2 linked regions of the Rhinolophus ferrumequinum genome follow. The protein of the gene in region 2 interacts with the protein of the main gene of each other region in a pairwise test. Links are inferred from orthologs where the notes say so. Each region holds a gene or a part of one and is shown on either strand. Other genes may lie near its edges.

What was found. The genes of interacting proteins can lie anywhere in the genome.
Region 1: the proteins of DLG4 (region 2) and DLGAP3 interact in a two-hybrid assay, tested with the Homo sapiens proteins (2 studies listed by BioGRID and IntAct). The link is inferred for Rhinolophus ferrumequinum from reciprocal best matches to the Homo sapiens genes DLG4 and DLGAP3.

Annotation. Positions count from the first base shown.
Region 1 is NC_046292.1:24,258,317-24,265,298, reverse strand, and holds the start of DLGAP3 (disks large-associated protein 3), read left to right. Parts: upstream 1-3,950; 5' UTR 3,951-4,149; intron 4,150-6,982. UniProt on the Homo sapiens protein: May play a role in the molecular organization of synapses and neuronal cell signaling. Could be an adapter protein linking ion channel to the subsynaptic cytoskeleton. May induce enrichment of PSD-95/SAP90 at the plasma membrane.
Region 2 is NC_046304.1:11,613,534-11,621,577, reverse strand, and holds the start of DLG4 (disks large homolog 4), read right to left. Parts: upstream 3,062-8,044; 5' UTR 2,864-3,061; coding exon 2,834-2,863; intron 1-2,833. Other genes in the region: ACADVL (very long-chain specific acyl-CoA dehydrogenase, mitochondrial), read left to right, coding at 5,680-5,741, 5,817-5,892, 6,168-6,233, 6,318-6,390, 6,475-6,539, 6,645-6,779, 7,182-7,326, 7,586-7,715 and 1 more. UniProt on the Homo sapiens protein: Postsynaptic scaffolding protein that plays a critical role in synaptogenesis and synaptic plasticity by providing a platform for the postsynaptic clustering of crucial synaptic proteins.

The DNA.
Region 1 (6,982 bases), on a different chromosome or scaffold from region 2:
GTCAAAAGATACAGAAGAAGCCCTTGCTAAAATGCAACATACATTGATTAAAACTCTTAGTAGATTAGAAATAAAATGGAGCTTCCTATAGCTGATCAAAGAAGTCTCCAAAAATCCTACAATAAATATCATCACAAAGAAAAAATGTCAGAGCATTAAAGTTATAAACAAGACAAACATACCGTACAACAGCACCACTTCTATCTAACATTGTATTCTAGGACTTGGTCAGCACAATAAGACAAGGAAAATAAACCAAAGGCAACAGGATTATTTTATTTTCCTAAATATACACATACATATATATTTCTATAAATATATACATATACATATATATAGTTATTTTATATTGTGTCTCATAATTTTAATAGTCGAATTCTTTACAGATTTGTTTTTGCTGGTTCTTATTTTTGGTGCCATGTTTCCTTGTGTGTTTGGTGATATTTAACTGTGTGGTTCATTTTCTTTGGAACTTTATCTGTGGGAATTATGTGAGGCCTGAGATGAAGGTAAATTCCTCTAACAAAGATTTACATCTGTTTTTGCCAGACACAACCAGTCTGGGATCATTTTATACTAAATTCTTGATTTGAGATTTTCCAGATTACCTAACTAGAGTGAATTTGATTGCCTGTGCTGTGAGGTCTAACTTGTAGTTATGGATTCTCAGGAGGTGATTCTTCCTCCCTACACTCAATGCTATTGCAAAGGCTTTAAACAGGTAATTTTTCTTGCAATTTCCTAGGTGTGGAGACGGGGTGAGTTTTTTCTAGTTCACCTGTACTTAGAGTAGAGAGAGCCATTTTAGGCCTTTAGTTTATGCACGGGAGTATTTGCTCACCTTGGGCAGACCCTGCACTTTATCTTCTTTCCCAAATGCCCTGAGAGATTATGAAAACTGAAGTTCAATTTCATCTGTTAGCAAATACCCCTGTATGAGTTATTTATTGCAACAGTATTCTGGCATAACACACCATTCAAAAATTCAGTGGTTTAAATTAAGCATTTATTATTGCTCAAGAGACCTCAAATTGGCTCAATAGTTCTTCTCATCAGTCAGCCGTGGTCAGGTATATTTCACATGTTTGGGGATCAGCTGGCTATAGGCTGGTCTAAGATGGTCTTGGCTGGGATAGCATGGCTGGCTTACACTTTGTCTCTCATTCTCTAGAAGGCTATTCCAGGCTTGTTCTCACAGTGGAGGCAGGAAACCAAATGAGAGAGTAGAAGTATACAAGCCTCTTAAAACTAAGACTTATAATTGGCATACCATGACTTCTTCCACATTCTATTGGCCAGAGCAAGTCACACATCACCCAGATTCAAACTATGAGAAAATAGTCCATTTCTTGATGTAGGGAGTTTCAAAGTCATATGGCAAAGGACATGGATTCAGGGAAGAGGTGAATTGGTGCCATTTTTGCAACCAATGTATCACAGCCCTTGGGATAAAGTTAGCTTCAGTGTTCTGCTTACTTCTCTGGGTCTGCCTTCACTTAAATTTTAGCTGGAGTGATTTTTATTTCCTTGCTAGTTCATTGATGCATTTAACAAGATTTAAAAATATATTTTATCCACCTGTTTTTAAAAAAATCATTTATCACATTTTCAGTGAGAGAATCAACCAAACATCTAGTCTGCCATACTGCTTGATTGACATTTTGATGAGTTTCCGTCTCTGTATATATGTTATGCAGCTCTCTACCCTAATTCTCTCTCCCAATCTTTGAGACTCTACTCAAACGCCTCCTTTATGCTTCTTTACTTCTTTGAACTGCCTCTCTTCATCTAGGCAGAGCTGGCTGTTGCTGCTAGACTCTAAAAGTATTTTGTGCCCGTCTCTATTGAGGCATGGGATTCCTAATATAGCAATCATAATTTGTGGAGTGCAGGGCCCATTGCTAAAAAATGATTAAGAATTTCAAGATGTGACATCAGAGCATTAAACCAAGAGAGGGACCGTTTTAAGTGTGGGCTCTGTGTGACTGTACAGCACACACTCCCATGAAGCTGGCCCTGATAGTAATTATTGGTTTATATCTCCATCTTCCTCGTACATCATGGATGAGTGTGAGAGAACACTGTCCAAGGTAAGCCTATCTGTTTAATCTTTATGACCCAACAGGCTAGCAAAGTACCAGCTACAATCAGTAAATGGTTGTTGAATGAACAAATGAAAACTACACTATGCTATAAAACATATCAACCCTTTGATAACAGCTTTAAGAAAAAAAGTAGAAAACCATGTTAAATATCTATTTATTTTAAGATGCTTTGCAATTTCAGAGTAGTTAACAAAATGTATGTCTTAGAACTGAAAAAACGTTATGGTACCTTTTAGCATTCTACGTGATGGCTGTTCTTATGCTTCATGGAAACTGAGTTTCTTTTTCAGTTCTAAAGTGGGTTCCTGGGACCAACTTTCTATCTTGTTTTCTCTGATATCTGCTCTTGGCTGATCCCTGGGCTGGGAATTATCTGTGACCTTAGCTCATGATTCAAAAGTCTTACTTAAACTGGGTTTGCAGGCAGCAGGAGAGGTGACCAGTCTGACAATCTCCCACCAGACTTTTAGGTTTCTTTGGGAAAGGGCTCTCCAAACTCCTTTGTGCCATTTATGTCATGTGACGTCTTTAAACATCTCCCCGGGGAAAGGGAAAAGGCTTGGCTCTCAGTTTTAACTCTTTTGGGCCTGTAAATTCTACTTTCTGTGCCTCAGTTTCTCCCTTTGTACAAGGAGGAGACCCAGTGACCCTAAAGGGGTACAAGGAGAAGGGAATTGTTGGGTGAGTGTTGAATCAGAGCTACTTTAAGGTCTGTTCCTAGATAGGACAGTGGGTCTCCCAAACCCATACCTCATTACCCCAAAGCTTTCAAGATCAGAGAAGGAGGGGGAAGAGGAACAGGACTTTGAGGATGCACACTACTCGCCACCTCAACTTTTGCTCGTTCTGGGAAATCAGAATCCAGAACCAGCCCCTACCCCATATCTTCAGCCCCTCCCCTGCGGCTGCCCCAATGAGCCCCCCCACCCCCTTCCCTGCGTGTGCCCATTACAGCATCGCTGTGGGCGCCAACACGGATTCAAGCCAGGAACTGCTGCAGTCAGCTTTCCTCCGCCTCTCCTGGCTCCTGCAGCCTGTGTCCTGGCTCTGCAGCCTCTGGCTGTGCTCCGGACAGTACCCTTTTCTTCCTCCACCCCGCCCCAGCCTTGGCACAACCCCTGGCTCAGGGCCTAGAGGTGGGCGGGCACCGTGGGCACAGGTGGGGGGTCCCAGCAAAGTCGGCAGGTGTAGCGGGGTTCTCCCTCTTCACTGGAGATGCCTCGGCTGTAAGGACTGTGGGTGGAGGACGCCTGTCAGTGGCTCGGAGGCCGGGCACAGCGCCCCACCCTGGCAGGGGCTGGGGCAGAGGAAGGGGGCTCCTTGAACCGAGGCCAGGAGCTGAAGTCGGGTAGCTGACCGGGAAAACCTGAAGGAGAATCTCCTAAGGGGATGTGTCTGGGGGGCTTGTGTGTGACATTCAGGGTGTGACTGCCTCGATGGGGCGCGAGACCGTGTCTGAGACTGTGTGACTGTCTCCCCAATAGCCCGCCTCTGTGCTTAGGTCCTTGTGCCTAGGTCGGCTGTGAGTGGCCGTGACACTGTGTGCCTGTTCCTGGATCCCCGGCGGACACTAAGCCGGTGGTCCCGTGGGAGGGGACACTTATTTGAAACCCCCAGCTAGGCCTCCCCAGTGTTGCCGCTCAGCGAGGCGGGAGCTCCTCGGAGACCCCTGCAGCCGCCCGCCGGCTGCGACCTGGGCCCTCCTGGGTCCGGTGCGGGGGCGGGGAGTTCGGTCCCCCTCCCTCTCCGGACTCGAGGCTCGGCAGCCCTGCGCGGGGGCGGGGGCGGGGGCGGAGCGCGCGGGCGGGATCCCCCCGCCTCCCCTTCCTGGTCCCCGGGAAATCCAGCCTCCGTGGCTTGGCCGCCTCCCGCTCCGGCTCCCGCTGCCGCTCGGCGCTCGCTCGGGGCTCCGCAGCCGGCGCGGCCCCTCCGCTGGGGGCTCCGCAGTGCCGGGCCCCATCCCTGCCTGCCGGCCCGCCACCGCAGCGCCCCCGGCCCGGGCCGCCGGCACCATGTAACCCGGCCGGAGCCCGAGCTGGGCCAGGTAAGCCGCGGGGAGGGGTGGGGACGGGCCGCGCTCGCCGCGCCCTCTGCAGCGCCCCCATCCTCGGCCAGGCTGCGGCCCGGCGCCGCCCACGCCCCGGGCTCCAGCGGCCTCGGCTCCCGGCCCCGGGAGGGGCCAGGGCTGGGCCTCCTCCGCTGCTCCCACCCCCGCCCTCGCCCTCGCCCGGGTCTGGCGGCCCGCGGGCCTGGCCCGAGGGACGGGCGGGGTACCACTGGGAGCGAGGACCCACTCTCTGGGGTAGCGCCTCGGGGGCTGGCCAGCCCTTGCCCCGCCCGGCCCGGCAGGAGGCTTGGGTGAGGGAGGGAGTAGCCAGCTGGCTTGTTGGGGGGTGGGGGAGTGGTGGTGTTGGGGAGACCCGGAGAGAAGTTTCCTCTGCAGGTGTGTGAGTGTGAGTGCGTGTCACTGTGTGTCTGTGATGAGTGTGTGAGTGTGTGGGTCTGTGGGTGATTGTGCCAGTGAGTGTATACAGTGAGTGTGTGTGTCATTGTGGGTGTGTGCGTGTGTCATTGTGCGTGAGTTTGTGTGCGTGTTAGTGGGTGTATGCAGTGAGTGTGAAGGGTGTTGCTGTGTATGTATTCACGGACGTGTGTGTCACCACATGTGCCTGTGTATGTCCTGTGAGTGTGTATGTGAATGGATGTGTGTGTGCCAGTGTGACTGTGTCTCCATAAGTGGGTCCAGGTATCTATGGTCTGTATGAGTGTGTGTGTGTGTGTGTGTTGGTTGTGTGAGAATGTATCTGAGCAGGCTTCACTCTGAGTCACCCATACCTGAGCTTTTCCCCCCTCCCCCCTGGGGGATTCCAGGTAGTTGGGGGGCATGGGAAAGGGAGATCATACTTTGCAGAGGTCAGGGACTCCTCCCCAGGGACTCCTCATCTTCCCTCATACATACTCAGGCAAGAGCTGCATTGCACTCCCCCCTTGGTCCCCACCTTCACCTACCTCAGGGGGTACTTTCTGCGATGCTCTGGTTGTGTCCTTTCTGTTTGCTGGGGCCCATGGTGGTAGTGGGGTGTGAGGTGAGCTGGAGTGTGTGTGCTTCTTTTTGGGGCCTGGGAACTTGTGTCATCTCAGTAATGTTTCACCAAGGGACCTTTAGAGCCAGAAACCGAGGAGGCCAAGCTTCTGCCCTGTTCTTAGTCATCAGAGCAGGTGGCTGTCCCCCAAACTTCCAGGCCCTAAATTTCCAAGTTCTGGGTCATTGGTTCAGCCTGCTTGCTCTAGGTGGGTCTGTGCTGAAGCTCTTTGAAGTAATAATAATAATAAAAACAATGCCTTTATGTTAATGCAGGGCTTTTGAAAAAACGTTCCCCTCTCAACTCTTCTTATCTCGCTAATAGTGCTGGGAAGCAGGAAGGCCAGGTTAAGCCATATGAAATTGCCAATATTCAACTGTTTTTGTTTTTTTACCTGTAAAAACAACAGTTTCATGTAGTTCAGCCTAATATGGTGCCAATTTATAGATGAAGATGTTGAGGACTGAGAAATGAATTGCATTTCCCATAATCCCACACTGTTAGTGGTACAGAAAGCTTCCAACCCAGGTCATTTGGTGACACAAGGAGCTGGGTTGGGCGAAGGTTAGAGAATGTTGCTTCCTGCTGTGCTCTCTCTGACCCTGGGGGTACGGATCTCTATTTCTGCCCAGCATTCTCTGGGTTCTGGGGCTACTTCTGCACCCAGCTGCCAAGGCCTAAAAGGGAGAGAGAGAGAGAGAAGGAGGGGAGGGAGAGGCTTCGTGAGTTGGCAGTGAATCAGGGTCTAAAAAGGGAGCTGGGAGGGCTAGGGTGGCAGGTGTTTCTAAAAGGAACATGAACATAAGATGAACATCCTTGGATGCCACCCCCACATGCCTGACCCCCACTGCCCCACTGATCTGACAGGCAGTGCCCACTGCATTTTATGTCAGGGGGCTCATGTCCAAGAAGTGAGCTTGTATGTAGCTATCGAACGATGGCTAGGGGAGGAACCTTAGAATTAACTTGGTCCAACCTCTTAATTATAAAGTGAAGACACTGAAGCCCAGGAAGGGGAGGGGACTTGCCCAAGGTCACACAGCGAATTTGTGGGTTCTTGGCTAGTTTTAGCTCAGGAACTTTACAACTCTCCATGTTACTTTCCATTCCTGGAACCCTCCCCGCCCTCCTCCCTTCCCCATGCTCATTAGAATTGGGCATAGGGGATTTGGGGAGAAAAATTAAAGACTCAATAAGCCTGAGACTGTAAGTCCTTCAACCTGGTGCCCCTTTCCAAAGAGAGGGAGCTACAGATGTTCCTGGGGATGGGGATTCCTAGACGTATGTACCAGCAAGGTAGGACCTGGGCTTGTCTTGATTCCTGCTGGTGAGAGGCTGGCACTGCTGCAGGCCAGTCTCCCAGACTTTCTTCTGTGGCAGCGCCTGCTTTAAGCTACTGCCTGGCACCCCACATCATCTCTCTCCAGCTGATGCTGGGGCTTAAGCTGGCTGAGCTCCATTTTTCTTCATCCCACCCAGTTTCTGATGCATTTTGCCTCTAGCTAGCCTGACAATTCCTTACTTTATGGATTCTTGTTGGGTAGAGAAACTTCTGGGGCTTGTCTGATTTTGGAGTGGTCTGTAGTTACCATTGAACTCTTTTAAATTAAACCTTCCAGGAGTCTAGGGCAAATGCTAAGGATAATTGTTTCCATTTTACAGATGGGAAGACTGAAATTCAGAGAGGGACTTCTTGTTTGTTTGTTTTTTCTCTTAATCTACTAAGATCAGTAGCAGAGGTTTTTGGAGTGAGGGGATAAAGGGAGCAAATGCTTTTGTCTAGAGGGGCTTAAA
Region 2 (8,044 bases):
CCTTCCAAAGACCCCCGCGCCTCGCAGTGACTTAGGCAACAAGCCCCTCAAACCCTGTCTTCTTTCGACACAAGGGACCACGTCACGCCCCTGCCAGGCCAGACCTGCCCTCACTTTCAGGTTACCCAGCCCTAAGGCCCCGCCCCGTTCCAAGGGCTGTTGCCCGCCTCCCTTGAGAGTAAGCCAGACCCCGCCCACCCGCCTCCAGGAGACCACGCCTCCGTCCACTTCCCGCCCATTTGCTCTTCCCCCCCACCCACCCCGGCCTCGCCCACACTGTCCCTTCGCCACGCCCCTGTCGGCCAATGAATGAGGCTGTTGGCCAAACTGCCCCGCCCCCGTCATTTTAGCTTTGCCCAATAAGGACCACCCGGAGGGTTTAACCGCTTCGCCTCCTGGGCTCTGGCCAAATACCCCGGGTCTTTCCCCACTTCGCCCCCTCCCCCACTAGTTCTGCTCCGCCCTTCGCCACCCTCGCCCGGCCCTCAAGTCCACCACGCAACCTCAGTCGTCGCCGGTTACCATGGCAACGGCGGCAGCAGCGCGGGGAGAAGAGGGAGGGATGGGGGCGGAGTGGGAGAAAGAGATGCTCAGAGATCGAGAGACACCGGCAGAGAGAGACACACAGCGTAAGAATAAGTGTTAGCTGTAAAGGCAGAGTTAGCACAAAGCACAGGGCCTGGCACAAGGTAGGCTTTCAATAAGTATTCCTTAAATTACTGCGGCAGGAGTCTAAATATAGGCAATGAAAGATGGAGGACTCTCAGATGGAGCTGGGAAGCTCAACGACCGCAAAGCCTAAGCACCCCCTATTTTGGGGGGTCAAGAGCCATGTGTCCCCTCCTGGCTCTTCCAGGGCTACCCTCCACTGCCCTGGATAAAGCTGAACCACAACTCCCAACAGCCCCACGGGCAGCAATCCCCTAACACTGAGGGATTTTGTGCCTCAAGGCCTTATGGGAGTTGGAGTCCCCGCCATCCCAAGACTGACAAGTTTTCCGGCCAAGGAATGTGGCAACCCTGGATCTCCATGCCTCTGTAGGATCCCAAATGTATGATCCTCTCTGCGCAAGGCTCCTTACTTAATGGATGCTCAACGTTGGGCTCTATCGAAGAAGTAAGAGTCTGGAAGAGATATGGATAAGCCCCCTTTCCCAGAATGTCAGTGCAGGCAAGCCCCTCACCCTCGCTCACATATGTGTTCACGTGTTGGAAGCAGAGCCCACACATTCCAACTGGCTTTCTGTGTACACCTGCACACGGGACCACAGCCAGGGAGCCTAAGGCTAAGGGGAAGGCTAAGGGCTGGAGGCAGGAGGAGCAGAGAACCAGAGGACATTAAAGGAGAGCAGGCCAGAGAAACTGAAGCCCCCAAAATCTACTGACACTACAAGGGTTGGGAAAAAGAAGCAGCGTAGGAGAAAGCTCACAGAAAAGGAGACCAGCAAGTAGCCCTGGAGATAGGGTGGGGGCTCCAGACCTAAAGGTCCTCAGCCCCCAACCTCTTCCATCCATGTTCACACGCACACGACGCATGTGTACACACATGTGTGAGTTTGTGGCAGGGAACATGTGTGTCCTCAACTCCCTCCTCTGAGAAGCTGCAGTTCCCACTAAATATAACCCCCTCCCCAGCCAGTGACTCACCCAGACCCCGCCTCCCCGGCCCCCACTTCCTGTCCCACCCCCCAACCCCCAGCTGCCTGCCACCCGCCCAAGCCACCCTGCACACACCAAGCATCCAGATTTCCAGTCCGAGAGTCTCACAGCCAAGACCTAGGTATTCTGCATCCACCAGGAGCTTGCTTGTGCTCCCCATCCAAGCTCTTCTTCCCTTTCCAGGCTCCAACCACAGGGACACCCTAGTACAGATCCTCACTGCTGCCAGCCCAGCCGTCCTATTTCTTTTCACTCCAGTCACCTTAAATCCAGGTGTCCTCCCCGACTATGATCCCAAGTGTCAGGGGTAACAGGAACATTCCCCTCCATCTGCTCTTCTCCCTCTTTCTCAACCAAGGGTAGATAGAGTGTGGGAGGAGATGGGGGTATTGGGCACCTACTTAGGCCACCCCCAAATTTTGCACCACCCACCTGGTTCCCCTCTTCAAATACCCTCTCTTCCAAAACCTCAGGAGCTGGCAACCTCAGCTGCTGCAACCCTCTGCCTCCCATGGGAGTGCCCCAGATCCTAACCTCACCTGGTCCATTCCCTCAGGTGAATGTCAGGCCCCAGCTCTCCGACAACTCCCAGCTCTCCCCATTCCATGTGACTGCACCCTAAATTAACAGTTTCCTCAAATTGAGAGCACCCCCAAATGTATCTACCAGGAGATGCTGGTTCTATAGAAAGAAAGCAAGCCCCTTCCCACAGTCTGATACCCCCAGACCAGTCAGGCACTCACAACCAATAACTTCCTACCCCCATGCCATACCAGAACACCCCTGAAATTGGACAAGGCACCTGGAAGCCAGCTTGTTCACCAGGAGGAAAGACGACCCCCCCACATAGTCAACCTTCTAACATACACAAGCAGGACTCCCATGTGAGCCAGGCTTCTCCTCAAATAAGTCTCCCTCAAACATTGTTGGTGAACCCCCAAAACCACCAGACCCCCAAACCACAGAACACCCCAAATTTTCCACTTCTACCAAAGAGATCACTCCAGGGGGCACCTGTGGCCAAACCCAGCGTTTTCTCAAATGGAAACCCCAAAACTAAATTAGGACCCCAAATACATCTTCTGATGCTCCCCAGCCCCAGGTTAGACCTGTCTAACCCCTCCCCACAAACTCATACCCTCCCCCCAGTTTAGAGTCCCCCCATCAGGCTTACCTTGGTTGTCACTATACAGAGACAGTCCATGTTGGGGGGCCTGGCCGCGGTGGCGGGTTAGGGGCTCTGACTTCATCGGAGTTTTGTTCCTCCCCTCCGTGGGTTCTCACCCCTCCCCCCTCCGCACCCCACTTTTGCAGGGGGAGCCAGGATGGGGGGAGGGGTGAGAGGGGAAAGAGGGTGTTGGAGAAGGGAAGGGTAGGGGAGCGTGGGAGGGAGGGGAAGGGGGCCCTAAAAGGGGGTCCCCTATGGAGGGGAGGGGGCTTGGGGAGCACACCCCGGTTCTCAGGAGGGGCGGGGGCACCGGGGGCTGGCAGCCCCGGGGCTCGGGGGCTGGGGCATGAGCTGAGGTGGGGGAGGGAAACTGGATTTCGGGGAGCCCCGGGGTGGGGGGGGTGTCTTGCCTACTGGCCAGAGGCTAGGGGCCTTTGCAGGGGAGGGGGGGGGGCTTGGAGGCGGCAGCGGCCGAGGGAGCGGTGAAGCTGAGGAGGGAAGGGGAGAGAGGAGGAGAGAGGAAGCAGGGGGAGGGAGGGAGGGAGCGAGGAGCCAGAATGGGGGGGTGCCTTGGCAGAGTTAACTCCTTCAGTGCTGGCAGGAACCCGGATAATGGGAAAGGATATGGAAGCAGAAGCGGAGAGGCCCTGAGGCAAACATGGAGACCTGGCCAACCACCAGCAAGGACAGCAGACATGACGAGGGTGGATTTCATTTATTAGAGGAGAAAGCACCCATAGTTGGGCTGGGAGCACCCATGTTTGTTTAAATACTGGACAGGCCATGGCAGGGCTGAGGGAGGGGCTGGCAGGAGGGAATCCCAGGCTTAGTTCTCCCTCAGGATTCACAGAAGGAAACCCGCAAAGTAATTATATCCTGTACTCTTTAGTGCCAGAAATGGGGGCAGGCAAAGGAAAGGAGGAAGCCAGAGGGAGAAGGGGCTAAAGGACAGGAGAGTGCATTCTTTGTGCCCCTAACTCAGGATTTTGTCCCCAGGATCCCAAAGTCTCAGTTCAATATCAGGAGTACTTTGCTTACCCCTTCAACCCTGCCTCCTCCCTCAGGAAGTCAGGCCCCCACCCTCACCCCCTTACCTGACTCTCTGAGATGGAAGCCTCATAATAGTCCAGGATGTCTGTCACAGGAACAGCACTGAGTTACCCTCCCCCACCCCTGCCTCCCTGGCCACCCCTGCCATCACTTCGCTTCCTTCTTTCTGGTAAGGGAGGAGCTCCTCCAGCCAAGGCTAGTGGATAGTCCCTCAGGGAGGGACACTGTTAGCCAGACCCCTGCATGAAACTCCTGCTTGGACCAAATAATCTCCAGGCTCCCAACCAGCCCCCAAATTCAGTAATTGCCCTCACAAGCTTAGGCCAGACCATTCCACCATTGCCCCTCAGAAAATTGGGACTACTCACCCAGCAAAGCCTGGAAGAGGTCACTGTGCAGCACTGTGAGGAGAGGGGGTGCCCATCGCAATAGTGGGGGAGCCAGGAGCCAGAGGGCTGACCTGGGAGCTGGTGAAATGCAAGTGAGGGTGGGCGAATTAGAACAAGGAAGTGAGGACCAATGCCCTCACTCACCTCATCTTTCCCAGCCTTTGCCCTTTCACCCCAGACTCTATGGAAAGGTCAGGGAGAAGGATCCTGAGTCTCAGCCCCACACTCCACCCCCAGGCCTCTGCTTCACAAGGACTTCTATTTTTCACCTCTTGGTCTCTCTGACATCTCTCTCTTCTCTCACTTTAATCTCCCTAATCCCCCAGGATTAGAGCTGAGCTGCCTTCTCCCCACCCAATTCTAGCTCTTAGGTCAAATAAGCGTTCTCAGAACAAACCCAGTGATGTCCCATTCTTCCCTAGGTCCCCAGGCACCTCCACCACCACCTTGTTCCACATACCCTGGGCCCCTCTCCCCAAAGCCAGGCACAATTTAGCTACACTTTCCTAAGGGACTGAGAACGAGGGTCACCCCCAAGGAGGCCCCAATAGCTCAAAAATAAAGGAAACTGAGCTCAGCTCTCTCTCCTCCAGTGCCTGTCCCCAGTGAGAATGGCAGAAAGATGGGCATAAATTACCTGGGACATGTTGCCCAGGAGTAGAGAAGTGTGGAAACATGAGAATTCCTATAGTTCTTCCCAGGCCTGGGAAGACTCCATCTACCCAGAGGTCTAGCCTGAGCACATGGTCTCAGGAAGGAAGGGGTTGCAGAGAGAGAGACAGATGTTGAGGAAGGTCTCAGTGGCCCTACATGGGAGGCAGTGAACTCCAGGAGGGAAGAGGAGGTCCTTGCTACTGTGAAAATTTAGGTGTTTCCAGAGTTAGTGATACTTCCTAGGTCTCAGGAGAATATGCTTAGGACAGTCACACCCCAGTTCGAGTCCCCCACCCCGCCATTCCTCTCCCTTTTGTGGAGATGGACTTGGAGAGATCCCAGAGTCGTCTTTCTATGCCACTGCTTCTATTTATACTTCTCTCTTCCCACCTCTCCTTTCTAACTCTTCTTGGGAAGTTCTCCTTTCAGTCTACCCTACATCCCTCTGGCTGCAAACTTCTTCAGTCCCAGCGTATCCCATCACGCCTTCTGAAGACTACTCTCTAGCTCGGACAGACGGGAGGAAGGAGTTTTGGGAAGACAAGGGACGTTTGGAGATCACCCTAGGTCAACCAGAATGCAGGACTCAGGAGCACTCGGAACTACAGCTCCCAGCATGCCCTGGCGGCCGGAAAGCTCCGCCCGCCTCCCGGGGCATTGTGGGGGATGAGTCAGAGGTGGGGGGGACTCAGACCTTGGCTGACGGGAGTAGAGCGTTAGGTCAGAGCTCAAAGCAGCGACAGCCGGAGCGGTTCAGAGATGCAGGCGGCGAGGACGGCTCCGAGAGTGGGGCGACAGCTGCTGAGGTTGGGGTGCGGGAGGTGTGTATACGCCGGGAGGGATGGGGGCAGCGGGCCTGGGGACCCGGCCAGGACTGAACCCCCAACTCCCCACAGCTCGCGGCCCTGTTCTCTCCTGGGGCAGCCCCAGCCATGCCCTGCCCGACGACCTTATGCCAATGCGGCCACTCAGGTAGGTGACGGCGGCTTTGGGACGGTGGAAGAGGGATGCTCGGGGTGGGCGTCCGACGCGTCTCCCACCTCCCTGACGTGGATAAGGGTCTCCCTCTTAATGCCAGTCATCTGCCGACTGGCTTGGCACAAAAAGTAGGGGAAAGGGCAGGCCAGGGTGCCTGGGGACGAAACTAGGGGAAAGGTCATCGGATCCGCCCTTCCCCGGCACCTAGCTCTCCCGGGCACTTACTTGGGTAGCCCTTTCCCGGCCGCGCTAACTGTCGCTTTCCCCAGGCGGTTCTGGACAAGTCAGATTCTCTCTCTTCTGAGGCTTCGACCAAGGAGAAACGGGCCAAGGCGGTATGTGACCCAAAGCCTGGAGGAGCTAAGCGAGGTGTGGACCCACCTCAGCCAGCCCCCTGAAACCCCCTTCTCCTGGCGCAGGAATCTAAGTCCTTTGCTGTGGGGATGTTCAAGGGCCAGCTCACCACGGATCAGGTGTTCCCATACCCGTCTGGTAAGAGTTAGTCAGAGATAGGTGGGGGCAGGTGGGTTCCCCTGACCTGCCTGGCATGACCTGCCCATACCTGCTGCCCTGCAGTGCTCAACGAGGAGCAGATGCAGTTTCTCAAAGAACTGGTGGGGCCTGTGTCCCGTTTTTTCGAGGTGAGGAATTACTGGGGCTGGGAAAGAGGGCATGGTCCTCTATGGGTTGGAAGAGATTAAGAAGTTCAAAAGGAGCCTGGATGTGGGATCTTGTGACTTCCCCAGGAGGTGAACGATCCTGCCAAGAATGACGTGCTGGAGCAGGTGGAGGAGCCCACCATGCAGGGCCTCAAGGAGCTGGGGGCCTTTGGTCTGCAAGTGCCCAGTGAACTGGGTGGCGTGGGCCTCTGCAACACCCAGGTGAGGGAGCCAGCCCCTCAGTCACTTCCCAGTATCCCAGATTCAGCTCCTCCCTCAACCCTGGGGCTAAGGTCTCTGCCAAGCATCTGGCGGTCTATGGGATGCTGACTCTCCCAATGTGTATACCCTCCTGCTCCACACACACCAAACTACATGCAGGCCCACTAGGGCCATGGACCTCACCCGGGTTCCCAAATCCTAATGAATCTCTAAGGTGGGTACTGCCTTAACGTAAGGGTAGTACGGACACCAGCTAGCCAATGTCCTTCTCTGCCACGGTCCTCCTCTCTACGCACTGTGTGGGGATGCCCAGATCAGGGCGTGCCCTATTGCCCACTTTTCCTGCTAAGGGTAGGTCTGCATGCAGCCAGTTACAGCCCCAGATGCCCTCTTTTCCTCCAGTATGCCCGCTTGGTGGAGATCGTGGGCATGCATGACCTTGGTGTGGGCATCACCCTGGGGGCCCATCAAAGCATCGGTTTCAAAGGTATCCTGCTCTTTGGCACGAAGAAACAGAGAGAAAAATACCTCCCCAAACTGGCATCAGGTGAGACAGGCCTACGAGCCACCTGGGGGGTGTCCTGGGCTCGATACCAATTAGGCTGGTGCTACTTAGCCACCACATAGTTGGGCGTGTGGGTTGGGGGTTGTTCTGGGAAGGCATCACAGGGTGCTGGCATGGACATGGGAAGAAACTGAATACTACCAGAGGTGTTATGGGTATCGGGGCGGGGGCACTGAGGGGCCTTCAAAGCCCATCAGGACCCAGCAGTGGGCACAGCATAAAGGCGCTCTCTGCACAACAGGGGAGACTTTAGCGGCTTTCTGTTTAACCGAGCCCTCAAGTGGGTCAGATGCAGCCTCCATCCGAACCTCGGCTGTGCCCAGCCCCTGTGGAAAATATTACACTCTCAATGGAAGCAAGATTTGGATCAGGTAATCTTCCATTTCTCCCCTCCTCTCCATCTCTGCCCAATTCTAGGCCCCACTGCTGTCCTGCATGCCCTGATAACCCTTTTTTTTCCACAGTAATGGGGGCCTGGCTGAGATCTTCACAGTCTTTGCCAAGACACCAGTTACAGATGCAGCCACAGGGGCTGTGAAGGAGAAGATCACAGCTTTTGTGGTGGAGAGGGCCTTTGGAGGTGTTACCCAGTGAGTGAGCCTGGGGAAGAAGAGATTGAGCCAGGGAGGGGTCAGTACTGAACTCCAGGGCAGACGGCTGTTAGAGGTCACCCTGGAGATTTGTGCAAAAGCCAAAGCAG